Arabidopsis thaliana: one gene and its partner. The protein of the gene in region 1 purifies or fractionates together with the protein of each later gene. This does not show direct contact. Each region holds a gene or a part of one and is shown in the gene's direction. Other genes may lie near its edges.

Evidence for each region.
Region 2: the proteins of AT1G20950 (region 1) and ALATS fractionate together in Arabidopsis thaliana (co-fractionation; one large-scale study listed by BioGRID). This does not show direct contact.

What each region holds. Positions count from the first base shown.
Region 1 is NC_003070.9:7,294,999-7,305,273, reverse strand, and holds AT1G20950 (Phosphofructokinase family protein), read left to right. Parts: upstream 1-3,640; 5' UTR 3,641-3,937; coding exon 3,938-4,027; intron 4,028-4,313; coding exon 4,314-4,486; intron 4,487-4,586; coding exon 4,587-4,699; intron 4,700-4,792; coding exon 4,793-4,867; intron 4,868-4,961; coding exon 4,962-5,075; intron 5,076-5,161; coding exon 5,162-5,229; intron 5,230-5,310; coding exon 5,311-5,394; intron 5,395-5,536; coding exon 5,537-5,590; intron 5,591-5,778; coding exon 5,779-5,859; intron 5,860-5,954; coding exon 5,955-6,048; intron 6,049-6,141; coding exon 6,142-6,215; intron 6,216-6,303; coding exon 6,304-6,414; intron 6,415-6,505; coding exon 6,506-6,550; intron 6,551-6,642; coding exon 6,643-6,699; intron 6,700-6,820; coding exon 6,821-6,925; intron 6,926-7,013; coding exon 7,014-7,130; intron 7,131-7,228; coding exon 7,229-7,338; intron 7,339-7,423; coding exon 7,424-7,589; intron 7,590-7,693; coding exon 7,694-7,807; 3' UTR 7,808-8,035; and 1 more. Other genes in the region: emb1507 (U5 small nuclear ribonucleoprotein helicase), read left to right, coding at 1-2,683; AT1G20940 (F-box family protein), read left to right, coding at 8,756-10,000. UniProt on the Arabidopsis thaliana protein: Regulatory subunit of pyrophosphate--fructose 6-phosphate 1-phosphotransferase.
Region 2 is NC_003070.9:18,591,043-18,602,174, reverse strand, and holds ALATS (Alanyl-tRNA synthetase), read left to right. Parts: upstream 1-3,695; 5' UTR 3,696-3,863; coding exon 3,864-4,158; intron 4,159-4,423; coding exon 4,424-4,662; intron 4,663-4,967; coding exon 4,968-5,108; intron 5,109-5,460; coding exon 5,461-5,607; intron 5,608-5,814; coding exon 5,815-5,967; intron 5,968-6,357; coding exon 6,358-6,487; intron 6,488-6,738; coding exon 6,739-6,835; intron 6,836-6,993; coding exon 6,994-7,114; intron 7,115-7,429; coding exon 7,430-7,489; intron 7,490-7,587; coding exon 7,588-7,638; intron 7,639-7,707; coding exon 7,708-7,803; intron 7,804-7,928; coding exon 7,929-8,030; intron 8,031-8,176; coding exon 8,177-8,299; intron 8,300-8,671; coding exon 8,672-8,815; intron 8,816-8,902; coding exon 8,903-8,974; intron 8,975-9,064; coding exon 9,065-9,140; intron 9,141-9,221; coding exon 9,222-9,364; intron 9,365-9,448; coding exon 9,449-9,557; intron 9,558-9,644; coding exon 9,645-9,832; intron 9,833-9,931; and 9 more.

The sequences.
Region 1 (10,275 bases):
CACTGTGCCAATTTTTGAACCGTTGCCACCTCAGTATTTTGTTCGAGTGGTTTCAGACAAGTGGCTTGGCTCGGAGACTGTGTTGCCTGTATCTTTCAGGCATCTTATTCTTCCAGAGAAGTATCCACCTCCGACAGAGTTACTGGACTTGCAACCTCTCCCAGTGACGGCGCTAAGGAATCCGAATTATGAGATACTCTATCAGGATTTCAAGCATTTCAATCCAGTGCAGACTCAGGTCTTTACTGTTTTGTATAACACTAACGACAATGTGTTGGTTGCTGCTCCAACGGGAAGTGGGAAAACTATTTGTGCGGAGTTCGCTATTTTGAGGAATCATCATGAAGGACCTGATGCTACAATGCGTGTTGTTTATATTGCACCACTTGAGGCTATTGCCAAGGAGCAGTTTCGTATCTGGGAGGGGAAGTTTGGGAAGGGTCTTGGTTTACGGGTTGTTGAGCTAACTGGGGAGACAGCATTGGATCTTAAGCTGCTTGAGAAAGGCCAGATAATCATAAGTACTCCTGAGAAATGGGATGCTCTTTCCCGCAGGTGGAAACAGAGAAAATATGTTCAACAAGTTAGTCTTTTCATCGTCGACGAACTCCATCTAATTGGAGGTCAACATGGTCCAGTGTTGGAGGTAATCGTTTCCAGAATGAGATATATTTCAAGTCAGGTCATTAATAAGATCAGGATTGTTGCGCTATCCACTTCGCTTGCAAATGCAAAAGATCTTGGGGAGTGGATTGGGGCCAGTTCCCACGGCCTTTTCAACTTCCCTCCCGGAGTCCGTCCTGTTCCACTGGAGATCCACATTCAGGGAGTGGATATATCCAGTTTTGAAGCCAGGATGCAGGCGATGACCAAACCAACCTACACCGCCATAGTTCAGCACGCCAAGAACAAGAAGCCGGCTATTGTTTTCGTCCCAACCCGTAAACATGTCCGCTTGACTGCTGTGGATCTGATGGCTTATTCTCACATGGATAACCCGCAGAGTCCTGATTTCTTGTTAGGGAAGCTGGAAGAACTGGACCCTTTTGTTGAACAAATCCGCGAGGAAACACTGAAGGAGACACTGTGTCATGGTATTGGATACTTGCATGAGGGTTTAAGCAGTCTGGATCAGGAGATTGTGACACAGCTCTTTGAAGCTGGACGGATTCAGGTTTGTGTGATGAGCAGTTCATTGTGTTGGGGCACTCCATTAACTGCGCATTTGGTGGTCGTAATGGGAACGCAGTATTACGATGGGAGGGAAAATTCACATTCTGATTATCCAGTCCCTGATCTGCTTCAGATGATGGGGCGTGCTAGCCGACCACTTCTTGACAATGCCGGGAAGTGTGTGATCTTTTGTCATGCACCGCGGAAGGAGTATTACAAGAAGTTTTTGTACGAAGCCTTCCCTGTGGAAAGTCAGCTCCAGCATTTCTTGCATGATAATTTCAACGCAGAAGTGGTTGCTGGGGTTATAGAGAACAAGCAAGATGCCGTGGATTATCTTACATGGACTTTCATGTACAGGAGGCTTCCCCAGAACCCTAACTACTACAATCTCCAAGGTGTTAGCCACAGGCATTTGTCTGATCACCTATCAGAGCTGGTTGAGAACACCTTGTCTGATCTTGAAGCCAGTAAATGCATTGAGGTAGAGGATGAGATGGAACTCTCTCCTCTCAACCTTGGTATGATTGCATCCTATTATTACATCAGTTATACCACCATTGAGCGCTTCAGTTCACTGTTGTCTTCTAAAACCAAGATGAAGGGACTTCTTGAAATCTTAACATCGGCTTCAGAGTATGACATGATTCCTATACGGCCTGGCGAAGAGGACACCGTTCGAAGATTAATCAATCACCAGAGGTTCTCTTTTGAAAACCCAAAATGCACAGACCCTCATGTGAAGGCAAACGCGCTTCTTCAGGCGCATTTCTCAAGGCAAAACATTGGCGGGAACTTGGCAATGGATCAGCGTGATGTCCTTCTATCTGCAACCAGACTTCTTCAAGCGATGGTCGATGTGATATCAAGCAATGGCTGGCTGAATCTTGCTCTGCTAGCTATGGAAGTAAGCCAGATGGTGACTCAAGGCATGTGGGAGCGGGACTCCATGCTTCTGCAGCTCCCTCACTTCACAAAAGACTTGGCCAAGAGGTGCCAGGAGAATCCAGGGAAAAACATTGAAACCGTATTCGATCTTGTGGAGATGGAGGATGAAGAACGCCAAGAGCTTCTCAAGATGTCAGACGCTCAGCTTCTAGACATTGCCAGATTCTGCAACCGCTTCCCAAACATCGACCTTACTTACGAGATTGTGGGCAGTGAAGAGGTGAACCCAGGGAAAGAGGTTACATTGCAAGTGATGCTTGAGAGAGACATGGAGGGGAGGACAGAAGTGGGACCTGTGGATTCACTGAGGTATCCCAAGACCAAAGAAGAAGGATGGTGGCTGGTCGTGGGCGACACCAAGACAAACCAGTTGCTGGCAATCAAGCGTGTCTCATTGCAACGGAAAGTGAAGGTGAAGCTGGATTTCACAGCACCGAGTGAACCAGGAGAGAAGTCATACACACTATACTTCATGTGTGACTCTTACTTGGGGTGTGACCAAGAGTACTCGTTCTCTGTTGATGTCAAAGGATCCGGCGCTGGAGATCGCATGGAAGAATGATTTGTTATTCAGGTTAGTTCCACAGTTTTCTGGTCATAGTTTTCGGATTTAGATTCTGTACATGGTTGTAGTTTTTGTGTTACGAACTTGGCTTTACTAGATTCTGCTATGTGCATTGACCAACTCGCTTTCATCTATTGTTTGAGTAATTTGTTCATCAATCTGCTATTTTTCTGTTTCGTCTGTTTTCTTTTTGCATGAGCTATGTATTAGGTTTTACTCTTGAGCATTGATTTACTTATCTAGGTATTAGAATACAGGTATGCTCATGGTATATATATACCTAGTATTGTGAAATGATTGATTGATAAGTTAGTGAACAATGTTGATCAGCAAATTGTTAGAAATCTGTATAATTGGATGGTGATTTGATGTGTGCTTTGGATGGTGATTTGATATGTGTGCATCACTGCTATATGAAAACTGCTTTCTTGAATCATGTCTCATAAAAATCTCACATGATGTTCCTTTAAAATAGCTGATAATAGATTTTGTATTTTGAAATCCAGAAAATGACACATAATTTCTCTTCTTTGCAGGCTATGCTGATTCTGGAGAGTGTGACTTGTCTTCCAAAAAGCCTCCGTACCGTTTGGGTCTCTGCAATCTTAGCTCTCTGAGAATATATATTAAGGTGTAATCGTTTTTTTCTGGTCTTTTACTATTCCAATTACTCTTTTTATGTCGTGCATCGATTTTTAATCCTATGTATGGCTTGTTTCTAGTTTTGTTTGGACCAAACTCGACAGAGGAGCCAATGTCAAAACTACAATTTGAGTTTGTGACTTTGAAAGCTGAGATTACTTGAAAGAATTTTAAATGCAGCAGTGTTCATTTTGTAACATCTGAGTTGTGTGATACTGGCTTATTGAGTCACCGATAGTTTTTCCTTAAAACTAAAATGTACTATTGCAAGTAAAAACCAAACAAAAAAAATTCATTCAAACTTGCATTATAACCAAGTAAACGTGATCAATAGAAACTTGCAAAATCACAACCAAAATATTTGTCCAAACAATATGTAGTCAAAACAGTCTGTTGTGTTCATAAAAAAGTCATATAACGATACACCAAAAAGAAAGAAACGGAGGTGTTTGGTTGGTAGTATATTCCTCCTCCTCCTCTTTCTTCTTCTCCCTCCTCACTATATATTTTGAAGTTTATTAACAAGAACCAAAAAAAGTCACACTCGAAGTCTCACACCACACCAACCACTTCTTCTTCTTCTTCTTCTTCTACATAAAACCTAACGCCATGGATTCAGATTTCGGAATCCCCAGAGAACTCTCCCCTCTTCAGCAACTTCGATCTCAGTACAAACCTGAGCTTCCTCCTTGTCTCCAGGTCCCTTCTTCTACTTCATAGATCTACTTCCTTCCATTGTTCCTATCATTGGATTTATTTGAGTACTTAGTTTCTTATTCAATATTATCATTCTTGGATTTCTGCAACTATTCCAAGTTTTTGTTTATCTTAATTCGATGAACTTTGCTCCTTAAGCAGATCTGATTTCTAGATTGTATTGTTCTCGGATCTGTTTTATTTCGATTCCTAAGTTTCATTGGCAGTCTCTTCAGCTTTAATCAGTTGAACTTTGTCATTTTCTTATTCTGCTTGAAATTCGTTTCAGGGGACTACTGTCCGCGTGGAGCTTGGTGATGGAACCACTGTGGCTGAAGCTGCTGATTCACATACCATGGCTCGTGCTTTCCCGCATACCTTAGGCCAGCCTTTGGCTCACTTCCTCAGGGAAACTGCTCAAGTTCCTGATGCGCACATCATTACCGAGCTTCCTTCAGTTAGGTGTGTGAATCTGTTTGCTCTCTATCTATATGTTTCTGGATTGGCGTTTGTGTTTGATTTAAGTTCTATTCAGCTTAAGTTAGTTCTTTTTCTACTGTAGAGTTGGAATTGTGTTTTGTGGAAGGCAAGCTCCAGGTGGACATAATGTGATCTGGGGTCTTTTCGAGGCTCTCAAGGTGCACAACGCAAAAAGCACTTTGCTAGGATTTTTGGGTAAGTTCTATTATTTTTTATACAACTGCATCATTTGCCAGTTTAGAGATTTTTTGTTAGACTTAAGTAAAATTTGTTGTTGACTGATAATAGGTGGTTCCGAGGGTCTATTTGCACAAAAGACTCTAGAGATTACAGATGATATACTTCAGACTTACAAAAACCAAGGTACTTGTTTGATCAAGGCATTGTCGTCAAATGCAGAATCTCCCGTTCATTGCTTCAAGTTCTGATATATTGGTGTTGAAATGTATGTTGTAAGGTGGTTATGATTTGCTCGGAAGAACTAAGGATCAGATCAAAACAACTGAGCAGGTTAACGCTGCACTCAAAGCTTGCACAGATTTGAAGTTAGATGGCCTTGTTATCATTGGAGGTACCTAGCGTTTTTACTTATATTCATTGGCAAATTTTTGTCTTTAATTTTTACTAAACCAAGAATATATATTGTGGTTTTTGAAGGCGTAATATCAAACACAGATGCAGCTCATCTCGCTGAATTTTTTGCTGCTGCAAAATGCTCAACTAAGGTCCTAATTTCTTTTTCTACAGTTTCATTTTAAATTCCTTTATAAAAATGCTACGGTAATTAAGCTCCTATGAAATTACAGGTGGTTGGTGTTCCAGTTACTACAAATGGAGATCTCAAAAATCAGTTTGTGGAGGCAAACGTGGGTTTTGACACCATATGCAAGGTAAAATGTAAACTTTAACCATCTGGTTACTTTGTCTTAGTTATCTTTTGTAGCTATTGCAGCAACATGATGCCGTTGTCCCTCGTAAGTCTTTGCAGAAACTATATGTTATTGTTTGCTAATGATATTTTGCGGCATACAGGTGAACTCACAACTCATTAGCAATGCCTGCACTGATGCCCTTTCTGCAGAGAAGGTAAAAGCTATTTCTTCCTGAACTTTCATGTTGCAAGAGATTGCTAGGGCATTCTTAACTGCAGTTTATTAACTTCATATTCTGATAAGACGAAATATTTCGATGAAGGATGTGAAAGCAGAAAGCTACTACAAAGTTATATTCTTTATGATTCTGATATCAAGTTCTACTTTCTTTTTTATTTGCAGTATTATTATTTCATCCGCCTCATGGGTCGTAAGCACTCTCATGTTGCCCTTGAGTGTACACTCCAGTCTCATCCAAACATGGTTCGTAACTGTTTCAGTTTCGAAACATAGACTATTGATTCTGTTGGCATGTTCATGCTCTAGACTCTCATTATCGTGTCATCCGATTGTCTCAGGTGATACTGGGCGAGGAGGTTGCAGCATCTAAGCTCACAATTTTTGACATTGCTAAACAGATCTGTGATGCTGTTCAAGCAAGAGCAGTAGAAGGTCTCGTAATGAAAACCATCTATGATTAGATTATGCAATCATGTATTTTACTGTGTTTACTAAATCTGGTACTATTTCATTTGTTTGAACCAGACAAGAATCATGGAGTCATCCTCATTCCTGAAGGGCTTATAGTCAGTATTCCTGAAGTCTACGCTCTGTTAAAGGTAATGATTTGATACTTGTTTCTTTCTTCAATACTGAGATGTACTTCTTAGTATAAATCACGTATAAGCTGACATTTGTTTGATGTAGGAAATTCACGGGCTGCTGAGGCAGGGTGTATCTGCTGATAAGATTTCTACTCAGCTCTCACCTTGGTCATCTGCTTTGTTTGAATTTCTTCCTCCATTCATTAAGAAACAGGTTCAAATTCTTTGAAATTAGAATTATCTTTGTTTTCGTTCAAAGCAAAGGTGTATTAATACATATAAGATGGTCGCCTTTCTTGCTACAGCTACTTCTCCATCCTGAGTCTGATGATTCTGCTCAGCTATCCCAGGTAATTATGAAGAACAAACAGAATATTTTGGACCTACTATGTTATAAAAAAAAAGTTGGAATCCTAAATGCTCTTTTTGCTTTCTACTCTAGATTGAGACAGAGAAACTTCTTGCGTATCTCGTGGAGACTGAAATGAACAAGCGCTTGGTATGCTCCAATTTTATCATTGGTTTCTATCTTTTCCCAATACTGTTATCTAAATAATGGAGTCATTATTTGGCATCAAAAAATACTATTGCTAATGTAATGAAATCTTTGAATTTGACAGAAAGAAGGCACATACAAGGGGAAGAAATTCAATGCCATATGTCACTTTTTTGGTTACCAAGCTCGTGGATCTCTTCCATCGAAATTCGATTGTGATTACGCCTACGTAAGTCACTAACAGTCTGTGCCACAGTACCAATGCAACTTCATAATTTAGATGAATATTAACACTATTGAATGGGAGAATCATGCAGGTTCTTGGACATATATGTTACCACATCCTTGCAGCTGGTCTGAATGGTTACATGGCAACAGTGACCAACCTAAAAAGTCCTGTGAACAAGTGGAAATGTGGTGCTACACCTATTACAGTTGAGTTTTGTCGTATTTTCTATCTAAAAGACGGCGGTTAATACAGTGTATTTCTATACTAATTCCCCATTCTTTTATCTCTGGTATTACCTTTTAGGCGATGATGACGGTGAAGCATTGGTCCCAGGATGCTAGTTATACTTTAACTTCAATTGGTAGACCTGCAATTCATCCAGCTATGGTGGATTTGAAAGGCAAAGCATACGAGTAAGTCAGCTATTACAGAAAACATGAACACACTCACGTTTGGCCTTATTTATCAATTGTTTGAATGTGAATGGTTTTCTTGCAGCCTCTTGAGACAGAATGCACAAAAATTCTTGATGGAAGATCTGTACAGAAACCCAGGACCGCTACAGTACGATGGTCCTGGTGCGGATGCTAAAGCAGTGAGTCTCTGTGTTGAAGATCAAGATTACATGGGACGTATCAAGAAGCTGCAGGAATATCTTGACCAAGTAAAAACTTTTTGTTTTTGTGTTTTTCTCTGCTAATTTCGTCAAGTATCGAATAATGTTCTTCGCCACTTTCATATTTATTAACATTTTTGGGGTTTGGTCAGGTGAGGACGATAGTGAAACCAGGATGTTCTCAAGACGTATTGAAGGCAGCACTGAGTGTGATGGCTTCGGTGACTGATGTTCTTACTACTATTTCTTCAAATGGTGGTCAATGATTTGCTTAAAACTTAAGGACAAAGCTCTTATGAATCACACACGTCGTGTTTGTTCTCTTCTTTTTGTTTTCTTTCTTTTGAGATGTAACTTTTGTTGTATTTTTTAAGTTATTGAGTTTGGAAAGACATAAAAATTGAAAAGGTTTGGATTATAGAGGCGCTATTTCACCATATCAATCCTTGTCCAACTTTTATTTTTCAGTTTCACTATTATTACAAACTTTTTTTAAATATGACAATTAGGCATGCATGCATGATGCATATAGCAATAGCATCGCTTGAACACGATTTTGTTTACAAAAAGAATCATTAAAATTTTAAGAGTTACATTTTTAATCTTAACTACACCAAAATACTAGAAATACAGTGTATCTTGCAAACTAACTTTAACAACCAATGACGTGTCATGTTCCCAAATCCCAGTTATAAATTTTGATAGATTTTTGACAGTATCTTAGGTACAGCTTTGGCATAAATACACTTTTATTTATTTTAAAAACTATCTTTAGCCTAAATACATTGTTAGTTATTTAAAAATTAGAAACTAAATGAAGAAATTATTTAGATATTAAGAAATATTTATCATTAAAAGATATTAGATTTTGTCATTTTTTTATATTAGTAAATTTTCTTTGTTCAACTAATGAAATTAATAACTAACAGATTATTTTGCAAAATGACAAACCTATAAAATATATATTAATATTTGATTTTCAAATTATCTTGCAAAATCATTCAAAAATTTAACTAAATTTATATTAATGTTGTATTTGAATTTTTCTTATAATGGTGAGATACTGAGATTATCCTTGATTAGAATTGATTGTTACTTTTTTTTGGTAATAATATGTTGTCTATTATTATATATATATATATATATATATATATATATATATATATGTTGAAAATAACACAAAAATATTCACATACGCCAAGCAAAATAGAATCATGAATAATTTGCCAAGAAATTCTCAATTTGATTCATCTTCCATCATCAATGATTTACCTTTAGACCTTCTCGACGAGATTCTCTTCAGATTAGAACCCAAATCTATGGCTATGATGCGATGCACTAACAATTCTATCAAATCATATTTAAGTGATCCAAGATTTGGACCGGAATATCCTTCATGGGTCAGACCTAGTTTGTTTAACCTTGGTAGCTATGGCGCTACTTATGTATGTTGCCATCCTTTGGTCTCTTCATGCGATTATATGTCACCGGGAAATGGAGTAGAACTGTTTGATGGTAGTGCGGATTGTTACATTTTCGGCTCATGCTCTGGTCTTCTCCTATTGTACATTGGTTGTCTCTTTGTTGCAAATCCCTTAACAAAAAGGTTTCGAATCCTGGATCATTCTGGATCAAAGCTTATACCAATGATAGTTAATGGTGGACTTAAAGGTCTTAGCGGAATTAGTTATCCTGGAGGTAATGTTGCTTGTACGGAACGAGCGATGTGCGTTGGATTTGCGGTAAATCGAAATCTAACAACCAAGAGATTCAAGATCGTGGGCATACTCGAGATGGAAAACGTATACGGATTCGAGATCAACGAAGGAGACTCTTGGAGATTATCGGAAACGAGTATCACCACTAGCTCAAAAAGTGATCTCACTACGCGGATGAAACCTGTTTACTTGGACAACACTCTTCACTGGCTGAGAAACGATGGCAGCATCATGTCTTTTAATCCCGAGACAGAGCAAGCATGCTTGATTCCTTCCATATTTCATCGGGAACCGGATACGAAGCTACTTTTCGCGGAAAGCGTTAAGATCAATCGCCTGACCCTAATTTCGGGGACGATAGAAACAATCTCCGTTTACACACTTGTCGAGAATCACAAATGGACACTCACAAGGCGGATCAAGAACATATCTATCGAGGAAGAAACGCTTGTATATTGGAACATAGCTATGTACGATGGCAAGTGTCTTGTGGTGAGGGTGAAAAAGATGGGTTTAGAACCTTTGGCAAGTGTTCTTCATGTGTACGACATGGAAGCTAACAGTTGGGGAGTTTTGGTGTCAACCCTTGCTTGGCCCAATTGCGTCCGAGATTTCTATAAATTGACGCCCTCCTTGTTCTTTGTAGAGGAGGATGAGCAACAGAAGGTGCTTGTTGCTTCTAATGACCGACGCATCTCCTATATAAATTCGATTATGGGACTCATTGATACCACCAAGTAAACATTTAGGGCCTATAGATTATACAAAAAATGTCCTGATTTATAAGAATGTTTGTTTCCCATTTGCTTTTATCATTGCACTATTATGGTTTATGTATTTCAAATCTAAAAATTAGTTGTATATTACTATTTCTTTTGGGACAAAAAATCATTTAAGACAATGTTGTTTAAGAACTTGTTCTTCTCTGGCTTGTCAATTTTTCGTCCTGCCCAATAAAGGCCCATCTTGTGTGTTTTGTCGAATCTAACAACAAACTCACACCTTTTGACCAAAAA
Region 2 (11,132 bases), about 11 Mb from region 1:
GTCTCCGTCTACAGTCTTGAGAAACATATCCCAAGCAAACCTATCGAAAATGACACCTTACTTTTTGGTGATGGAAAATCTGTTTGGCGAAAATATAAATCATTCATCAACTTGGACGTTATCTTCACGGAACTTCCTGCTTAACTCGGAGCTTGAATTATTCATCCATTCAAATCGTTGCATGTTTTATTGTATCAATTGATGGTGTTTTTTAAAGTTCTTTTTAATTTGTTTGATGAGAACATAACAGATTATTTGTTTAGTTTATATAGAGGTGAGTATTTAGAATTCTTTTTCTTTTAGGATTAATAATTAATTGTAAAATTAATTCTTTATTGTATTTTATATAATAAAATGGTATATTTTTTAAATCCATTATTCATATTCTAGTTTAAGTGTTCGGTTTTTTCTTTCTATTACCCTAATTTCTGTTGTAGTTTTTATTTAATTGGAATACCTTGAATTTCAAGAAAGCATGCATAGAATGTTTTTGTTTTTTTTTGCTTGTGTCGTCTCTTACTATTGCAACATATGCAATTAGCATGTTCTTACTTCCATTGCTACTAACTCCATTTGAAACATATGATTTGATGTTCTCATATACTCTTTGCCACTCGTTCCATGTACTTATCATTGCCAGAAATCCTCCAAGAACTGTTATAGCTAGAGGTAAACCTCCACACCTTACAATTATCTGCTTCCCAATCTCCTCCATTTTCTTAACCAACATTGGCTCTGCATATCAGGTGAATAAGTGTGTCAAGTATGATAGTATATATGCTGCAGAAAGATTAGAGCCTAATGATTACCTATATTTTCTCTTCCAGATAATGAAATTTTCTCCAACAGCTCCCAACTCTCTTCACATGTTAGCTTCAATTGTTGCTCATGAAGCACACCCCTGGGATCAGCATATAAAGCGACCAATGCTGCATATTGAGGTTAGCTTCTCTTTTGTTCTCAAGTTTGTCACCATTGTAAATGAGCAGCTGGAAAAGAAACAACTCTTAAGGGATATGCGGTACGCAGTTGCTGCAACTAGGGAGTTACTTCCGTCGTTGATGAACGACTACTAGTTTTCTGTGTCCAAATACTTTTCTGAATCAGTTCATCCGAGATCTTTTTTCCTTCTGTAAAAATAATAATATTTTTTCTTCTTTTTTTGCAGATTTCTTCTTATATCACAAGTATTCTCTATGGCTAGTCTCTTATTATATGCATCTATTTTGTCTACTGAAGACATAACTTGCAACATTTCTTGGAGTTTTTGGTCTTGATCAAGTATGTTTTTTCTGCCTCTCTGTGATTGAAACTGTGTTCTTTGAAAACTGGACTCAGATTGATTTTAGATGTGAATGACTCTAATCGAATTAGTACTGGTTCTTGTTGATGTATCTGACTTTCATTTTTAACTTTTTATTTCTTACAGGTTCATCCAGTTATCATCTGTAGCTGGATATGTGAAGTGTCTTCTTGCGAACTTATGTCTTAACTTTGAAATACTTTGAATAACGATGATAATTTGGAGTAATGATGGTAATTTGATCAAATTGTGTTTGGCTTTTTGGTGTGTCCATTTGCAGAGATATATTGCTTTTTAATAACGAGAAAAATGTTATTTAATACCCTAATTTTCAAATTATAACCGTTTTATACGTCAACTTTATATATGGTCATTTTAAACATGATGTTATCGTTGACCACCATTTAAACCATGAATATTTCGTTGACCAGGCCAAAAAAAATAGTCGTTAACGGATTATTCAACTCCCGTTAACACCTCCGTTAACCATTCTAAACGATGTCGTTTTCGTTACTATAAATCATGTTTTACCCTTTTATAAGCTTTTAAAATCCCTTGTAAATCATTCCAATGCCACTTACTTATGCTTAAAAAAACATTGTAAACCATGCTAGCCCTTTTTAAAAATCCTTGTAAATCATTTTATGCCACTTACTTATGCTTTAAAAACGATGATAAATCATGTTTTACCTTTTTATAAGCTTTTAAAATCCCTTGTAAATCATTCAATGCCACTTACTTATGCTTTAAAAACGATTGTAAATCATGTTTTACCCTTTTATAAGCTTTTAAAATCCCTTGTAAATCATTCAATGCCACTTACTTATGCTTTAAAAACGATTGTAAATCATGTTTTACCCTTTTATAAGCTTTTAAAATCCCTTGTAAATCATTCAATGCCACTTACTTATGCTTAAAAAACGATTGTAAACCATGCTAACCTTTTTTAAATCCCTTGTAAATCATTTTATGCCACTTACTTATGCTTTAAAACGATTGTAAATCATGTTTTACCCTTTTATAAGTTTTCAAAATCCCTTGTAAATCATTCAATGCCACTTACTTATGCTTAAAAAACGATTGTAAATCTTGTAAAACTATTGTAAAAAGTTTTAAAATGATTTACAAAGGTTTAAAAAGGGGTTTTAAAGTATTTACCTATGTTTTTAAAGACTTTATAAAGATTTTAAGAGGTTTTAAAATGATTTACAAGGGTTTTTAGCAATTACCAAAGATTTTAAAAAACTTTACAAGGTTTTTTAAAAGAGTTTTTAAAAAATTTACAAGGATTTTTAAAAGCATTTTTTTTGCTGGGAAACAAAATTTACGAGAAAAAATTTTGGCGGGAAATTTATTTTTGGCGGGATTTTTTTTTTTTTGGCGGGAAAAAAAGGTTTGGAGGTGTTCTTCAATGAATAGGGGTGCTTGATGAGGCTTGTATTAAATGGTAGAAGTCCATGGAGAAATCGAAGTGTTCAAAATCGGAGGTGTTCTTCAATGGAAGCTTTACTATGGAAATGTTTTGTTTCGTTAAAGATGAAGAAGAAGAACTTTAAGCGTATATAAGTATCTGTGTTTGTATAGAATGACAGAGAAATCTTTGCAGGTAGAGTGGTCAAATGACCTTTGATTTTTCTCAAATGATAGGGGTTCGAATCCCAGGTCTGTCATTTCTTTTTAAAGAAAAACGAAAACGACGTCGTTTAGAATGGTTAATGGAGGTGTTAACGGGAGTTGAATAATCCGTTAACGACTAATTTTTTTGGCCTGGTCAATAAAATATTCATGGTTTAAATGGTGATCAACGATAACTTCATGTTTAAAATGACCATATATAAAGTTAACGTATAAAACTGTCATAATTTGAAAGTTGAGGTATTAAATAACATTTTTCCCTTTTAATAACTGTAACCAATATGTAACAGAAATCCATCCAACCCAATTTGATCAATAGCGTAAAAACTCATTATTGTTATAAAATTTTAGGTAGTTTACATCAAAATAATATCATTCATTTTTTATACTATAAAAATAGTATTTAGATTAATATTTAACAAGAATAAGAATAATTTTTATATATAGATCATATCAATCCACATAATAAAAAGAGAAAAACTCAAATATGAAAAAAATTCAAGTAACAAAAATATATTAGAATTACATTTGGTTGATTGGAAAAAAAAAAATTACGTGTAAAACTATAGTATTATCTGAGAAACGAATACAAAAATTTGCAACAGTAGCAGCAAAACAAATTCAAAACTTGCGGCAACGACAACAGCAACAACAACAACGAAACAAACAATAACATGCGAGGCAGTCTCACGGCTAGTGGCAGCAAACCCAACAGTTTATCTAAACGAGAACCAAAATTTACTCTCGTTTTTTTTTTAATGTTATCCTTTGATGAACAAAATGTATTTTCCAAATTTTACTTTTTTTATTTTTTAAGTATTATCCCTTAAAATAATATATCTTGCGGAAAAGGAATCGGATTAAATAAATTTTAACGGTAGAAAATAGGATAGGAGGAGAGAGAGAAGGTCTTTTATTGGTTTGAATGAGATTAGTGAAGGCAGCTTCTCTTCTGATTTCTTCAACCAAACCTCCGTCTAGGGTTTTTTACTCTTCCCATCTCCGCCGCCCTTTTTTCTCTCACTTCCGTTTTTCTTCCTCTTCGTCGACGTCTTCCTCCGTCGCAGTCATGCCGGGTTCCGAACCATCGGAGACTCAGTGGCCAGCAAAGAGAGTCCGGGATACTTATGTCGATTTCTTCAGAGGCAAAGGCCACAAGTTCTGGCCATCAAGCCCCGTTGTTCCTCATAATGATCCTACTCTTCTCTTCGCTAACGCTGGTACGATAACTTCGATTCCTCATATCTGTTTTTGCCGATAAGATTGGGAATTTGTCCAAGTTGATCTATGGAATTCAGATTCTATAGAGTTGACTTATTCTGTCTTCTTTTGTCTTTGAAGCTTTGGGACTTATTCAAATTTCTCAATTTCAGTTTTGGTCGAAATTTTCTGATATTGATACTGAGCTATGTAAATTAAGTTCTCTTGATATGTCTGGCGAAAAATAGAATTATTAATGACATTGAAACTTCTCTGTTTTTCAAGGAATGAACCAGTATAAGCCAATATTTTTGGGTACGGCCGATCCAAATACTGAGCTTAGCAAGCTATCTCGGGCATGTAACACCCAAAAGTGTATTCGTGCTGGTGGAAAGCATAATGATTTGGATGATGTCGGCAAAGATACGTACCATCACACCTTCTTTGAAATGCTTGGTAACTGGTCCTTTGGAGATTATTTCAAGAAGGAAGCTATCGAATGGGCTTGGGAGCTCTTAACCAAGGTAATTAAATACCTGGGAAATTTGTCTCTGTTTACTTGATTTAAGAAAAATATACATGGTATTATTCAGTAAACTATTGTCTCCCTCCCTTGGGACGGTATGTCTCAATTTTGTTAAGTGATTCTTCTCTTTTCATTTGGTTGTACATTTCAGTTTTGTAAAGTGATTCTTCTCTTTTCATTTGGTTGTACATTTCAGTTAGATACCTTGTGACAGTATTTCATAATTTTGTAAAGTTACTATTCTCTTTTCGTTGAGGTTGTTTATTTCATTGAGGTTGATACCTCCCTGTTTTCATGCCTCAGGTCTATGGGCTACCGACTGATCGAATCTACGCTACATATTTTGGCGGTGATGAGAAAGCTGGCCTTCAACCTGATAATGAGGCTAGGGATATATGGTTGAAGGTTCTTCCATCTGGACGTGTGCTGCCATTTGGTTGCAAAGTATGTATTGATTATTTAAGATAATAACTTTTAATCTGTTACCTAATTTTTTTGAATCCACTACTCATTGATTTCCTCTCTCCTGAGGTTACTTCACAAGTACTTCAGCTAAGTTGCCTTTGTATTGTCACCATTGTTTCTTGTATATATTGACACATCTGTTTGTCAATGCTAACGACAACCAACTGTAAGCTTGAATGCATTTTGGCTAGGAATACGCTATCATGTTTGGTAGTTGGCAGGCTTTAAAAACCATTGTTTATGATTTACAGTCAAAATCTTGTACAAAATGTAAAACTTAAGGGTTTTTAAATGCTGTTTTTCTTTCATTTAACTTTTGATTAAACTGCAGGACAATTTCTGGGAAATGGGCGACACAGGTCCGTGTGGACCTTGTACTGAAATACATTATGATCGCATTGGTAACCGTGATGCTGCATCCTTAGTTAACAATGACGATCCAACATGTTTAGAAATATGGAATCTTGTCTTTATTCAGGTACAAACCCTCTCTGTCCCAATTGTTATTTAGTTCCATTTTACTAATCTTTATCTCAATATCACAATTGTTTTAATGATTTTGTAGATTGTGTTACTGAAAACTCTATATTGTGCAGTTAGCTAGATTGTTATTGCTCCTTTAGCTGTGCTATCATATTCCCAATTGTTTCCTCTGACTGGGATGTTACTTATGTCTTCAAAATAGTTCAACCGAGAAAGTGATGGCTCGCTAAAACCTCTGCCTGCTAAGCATGTTGATACCGGGATGGGCTTCGAGAGGTTGACTTCTGTTCTTCAAAACAAAATGAGCAACTATGATACAGATGTGTTCATGCCTATCTTTGATGACATCCAAAAGGTAATTTGTGAAAACTTCTGTTGATGGTTTCATGACAGCTGTTTAATGATGGTTTCATTGAGTTATTTTTGTTTGGCCTCCTCTTAGGGACGCATTTGTCACCTTAATTAGTACTATCATCATTTTAGTTCATCAATTTTGAAGTGGATCATGGGTTCTATGCTTTACGTCGAGACTCCGTCAATTGTTTTTGAATATTTCTGGTTTATTGAATTTGGATTTCATGATAAAGGCATTCTACTATGGGTATCCTGGAGATTATTCGTTGTTAGCTGTGTCACTTTTCATGTATTTTTCTTAGTGAGAGGATTGAAAAAATCTTCAAATTGCTCTGTTTACCCTAGTTGTTGCGAATCTTAAGTTTAGGTGTTGATGCTTTCACTTTTTTAGGCAACGGGAGCTAGGCCATATTCTGGAAAAGTTGGTCCGGAAGATGTTGACAGAGTTGACATGGCATATAGAGTGGTTGCTGATCATATTAGAACCCTATCATTTGCAATTGCGGATGGCTCTCGTCCTGGTATATACTTGGTTTCTTGTCTCAATCACAATTGTGGTGGTTACAGAAAATACAATCGTCTTAGTATTCAATCATTTATTTGAGTTCATACTTATATGTTCTCAGAAAAAGTGTTTTTGGTTCATTTATTCTAAGTTGGGCATGATGAGTTTGTCAATTTTCTTCCTCAGACAATCTGTTATGTTATACAAATAGAGGTTTGTTATTTCTTGTAGTCTAACAAGTACCAATTAATATACTATCTCTTGCAGGTAATGAGGGCCGTGAGTATGTTCTGCGGCGTATTCTTCGTCGAGCGGTTCGCTATGGAAAGGAGATCCTAAAAGCTGAAGAAGGATTTTTCAACGGGTAGGAAATTATGTTTGATTTTCGTTGCATGTTTTGTTTGAATATTGTTTCAAATATTGTTTCGTTGTAGCTGGAACGTTTATTTCTGTCTTGTATCTTTATAAATGAGCATATTTTTTTGACACATGTTTTATCTCGGGCTTTCATATTACCTGTAGGCTTGTAAGTTCTGTCATTCGGGTGATGGGCGATGTCTTTACAGAGTTGAAGGAACATGAGAAAAAGATCACAGATATAATTAAAGAAGAGGAAGCAAGCTTTTGCAAGACCTTGGCAAAGGTAAGGGCTGGATTTAATTTCCGTCAAAGCTTTGAACCTCTTATCTTATTTTGTTTTGGGTTCTTCTGGCTCGTCGCACTGAAGTAAAAGAGACAGTTCACAGCTTCAATCAGTGGCATGTGATATTTCTGTATAGATTGTTTCCAATTTCATCATTGTTCAGTTTTAATGATGGTTAGACATAATTATAGTATTTTCTATAGGGAATCTTTTTTCTGAAAGATGAATTGGCTTTACCTGGTCGTTCCTCCCTTTTTTATGTGAATAGGTGGTGAGTATAAGAACAGTTAGACTGATTATAAATTTTCACGGCAGGGAATTGAGAAATTTCGGAAAGCTGGACAGGCGGTTCAGGGGAATACACTGAGTGGAGATGTACGTATCGAATCATTTTTGTGATGTATGTTAGGCGTTGCAGTATTTTCATCTGGGATGTTTGAATTCTATCTCAACATGTTGTCTTCTCTTTGCAGGATGCTTTTATCTTATGGGATACATATGGTTTCCCGTTAGATTTAACTCAGGTACGTAAGTCATTTATACTTATTTCTGAATGTTCGTGTTATTTTCTAACTTTTATTCTCGGGGTTCAGTTGATGGCTGAAGAAAGAGGGTTACTGGTTGATGTTGATGGTTTCAACAAAGCCATGGAAGAGGCGAGGGAAAGATCGAGAAGTGCCCAGAATAAGGTGTTTCAACTTTCCTCTTGTTTACTTTCTTAAAGAGCGTTTAATGCCAAACTTACGTGTGACTATGAACGAAGTTTGCAATCACATCATCTATTAACCAATCTTTTAATGTCATTTTTTTATAGCAAGCTGGTGGTGCCATTGTTATGGATGCTGATGCTACATCAACATTGCACAAGGCTGGTGTTTCAGCAACAGATGATTCTTTTAAATACATTTGGTTCCAGGTTTGTCCTTTTATTCCAGAAAACTTGCATGTTGCACCTGAAATGTTCTTATGTTGGCGTAGAAATGAAGAAGTTAGGGCATATAATAGTAAATGGATTTTGCTTTAAAGAAACCTTTATTGGTACTCTGCCACATATCGCTGCAGGACCACGAGAGTGAACTAAAGGCAATCTATACTGGCTCTACTTTCCTAGAAAGTTCAGCTGCTAGTGATAACGTGGGACTAGTATTGGGGTCTACAAGCTTCTATGCTGAGCAGGGTGGTCAGGTAATCCATTTTATTTGATATGTATTTTAGTTTGCTAATTGTTTTTCATTTCTGATCATATGACTGGTGGCATGAAATTGCAGTCTTCAGTATGTTCATCTTGGATTTGTATATATATACAAATGTAGACATGGCAGTAACACCATGAACACAATCATATCAGAACTGCATTGTTTGAATTTATGTATCGGCTGGCAAATACCATGATATAGTTATTGTTGGTTTTGCATACTAATTTCTGAAGTTGTCGTTGACAGTCACATAAATATTTTTAGATTTCATATCCATGAACAAGGTTAAGCTTTTGATTCACTTCCAATCATCTATATGTATATAAACTCTGTGCCTCTAACATTTTTTCTCTGGCAATAGATTTTTGACACTGGACTTATAGAAGGCTCGTTTGGGACATTCAATGTATGCAATGTACAAATATTTGGGGGCTTTGTTCTTCACATTGGTTATCTCTCTAAAGAAACTGGAGAGGTATCTGTGGGTGATAAAGTGATTTGCAAGGTAACTCTCTGCATCAAACAGTGTTTGTCTCATTCACCATATTTGGTACTATCCAATTTGTTTCCACCTTCGTTTTCATGCGTATAGGTTGACTATGAGAGGCGTAAACTCATCGCTCCTAATCATACTTGCACACATATGTTGAATTATGCCCTGAAGGTATCCCTTTTCTATAATTTAAGTAACCTAAACTGTGATTTTCTAATTTTTTCTATTGGATCTGAAAATATTCATGTCCCATGAATTCAGGAAGTGCTCGGGGATCATATTGATCAGAAGGGATCAATTGTTCTTCCTGAAAAACTGCGATTTGATTTTTCTCATGGTACATTTTTGAATAAAGTCATTTTTATTTTGATGTGGATGGTCATCTTAATTGTCTGATGGGTTCCATAATTTCGAGTAGGCAAGCCGGTTGATCCTGAAGATTTGAGAAGGATCGAATCCATAGTGAATAAACAGATCAAGGATGAATTAGATGTGTTTTCCAAGGAAGCTGTGCTTTCTGAAGCCAAGCGCATCAAAGGTCTAAGAGCAGTGTTTGGAGAAGTAAGCTGTCCATCAGTTCTGTAGCTATACCTTTTTAGTTTGGTTTCTAAGAATTGTTAAAGCGTTCTCTCTTACTCTTTTTAGGTCTACCCCGATCCCGTCAGAGTGGTGTCAATTGGGAGGAAGGTTGAGGATCTCTTGGCTGATCCTGAAAACAATGAATGGTCATTGCTTTCTTCCGAGTTTTGTGGAGGTCTGTTTCCATTGGCATTAGCTATTGGGACCAAGATATTACGTTCTGAATAGAATGTTGAGTATAGGGTTATTTTGACAATTCCAGGAACCCACATAACAAACACCCGCGAAGCCAAAGCATTTGCTCTTCTATCGGAGGAGGGAATTGCTAAAGGTATTCGTAGGGTAACTGCTGTGACTACTGAATGTGCTTTTGATGCATTGAATGCGGCGTCCTTACTTGAAAGAGAAGTAGAGGATGCCTCCAGAGCGGAGGGAAGTGCATTGGAAAAGGTTTTCTCCCTCTCTTTGTCAAACTATTGACAAAATGAAGACGATGTCGTTACTTGGATTCACGTAAAACTTATTGTGTTTGTATTTGCACATTCACAGAAAGTTTCTGCTTTGAAAAGCCGAGTAGATGCAGCAATTATCCCAGCAGCTAAAAAGGCAGATATTAGGACTAAGATTGCTTCGCTTCAGGTTATAAGCTCTTTCAGCCTTACAGTCAGCAGCTTTGTCTAGATTTCCCTGTAATTTTGTAATCAAAGCAATTCTGAAGTGGCAATTATTGTTTTCCTAACTTCGCAGAATGAAGTAAGAAAAGCTCAGAAGAAAATAGCGGAACAAAACCTGAAAAAATCTGTCAAATTAGCAACAGAGGCAGCTGAGTCCGCAGCATCAGATGGGAAGACTTTCTGCATAATCCAGCTGGATGTGGGTCTTGATGCAGCAGCTGTGCGAGAGGCCGTTTCAAAAGTCATGGAAAAGAAGGTAATCCGTATTTTCTTACATCATCACTTGTACCATAACCTGTTCATAGATAGCAAGAAAGTTAAATTAACGTTTCCGTTTGATTAACCTTGCAGGGTATGTCGATAATGGTGTTCAGCACAGATGAAAGCACAAACAAGGCGGTTGTGTGTGCAGGAGTGCCAGAAAAATCAGACCAGTTTAAGCCGTTAGACGTCACTGAATGGTTGACAACTGCATTGGGTCCTCTAAAAGGAAGGTGCGGGAAAGGGAAAGGTGGTCTTGCATCAGGGCAGGTATGAGTCCTATTCTCTTTAGTCTACAATGTGATAGTATCATCTACAAAGAGATGTTAAATCTTCAACATGTTGTTTTGGTTTTAGGGAACGGATGCTTCTCAAGTGCAGGCGGCTTTGGATATGGCTTCATCATTTGCATCAATGAAGCTCAACTGATTTGGTCGGGAGGTTACATAATCTGTGAGGTCAGAATAACCTCTACTTAATTTGCTTTCATTGTACACCGTTTTACACATGTTTTAAGAATCTGTTAAATTTCTCTGTTCTTGTGATGGAATTTGTGGTATCACACTCTTTTAGTCAAAGTTACCAATGGCTGTTATAATCCCTTGTGAAATGATCCTTTCCCGTTTGCGTTGAAATGGTTATTTAAAAAAAAAAAATAGGATTTGGTATGGACTGGTCGGCTTTAGTTACCAAAAGCATAAAACTGAATTGATTTACCTAAGTTCCTTTAAATTTGTTTTGGATTGACTGAAAATGAATTGCACATTTCTGAAAACAGTGATATATATGTTACTAGTAGATAAAAAACTAAATCC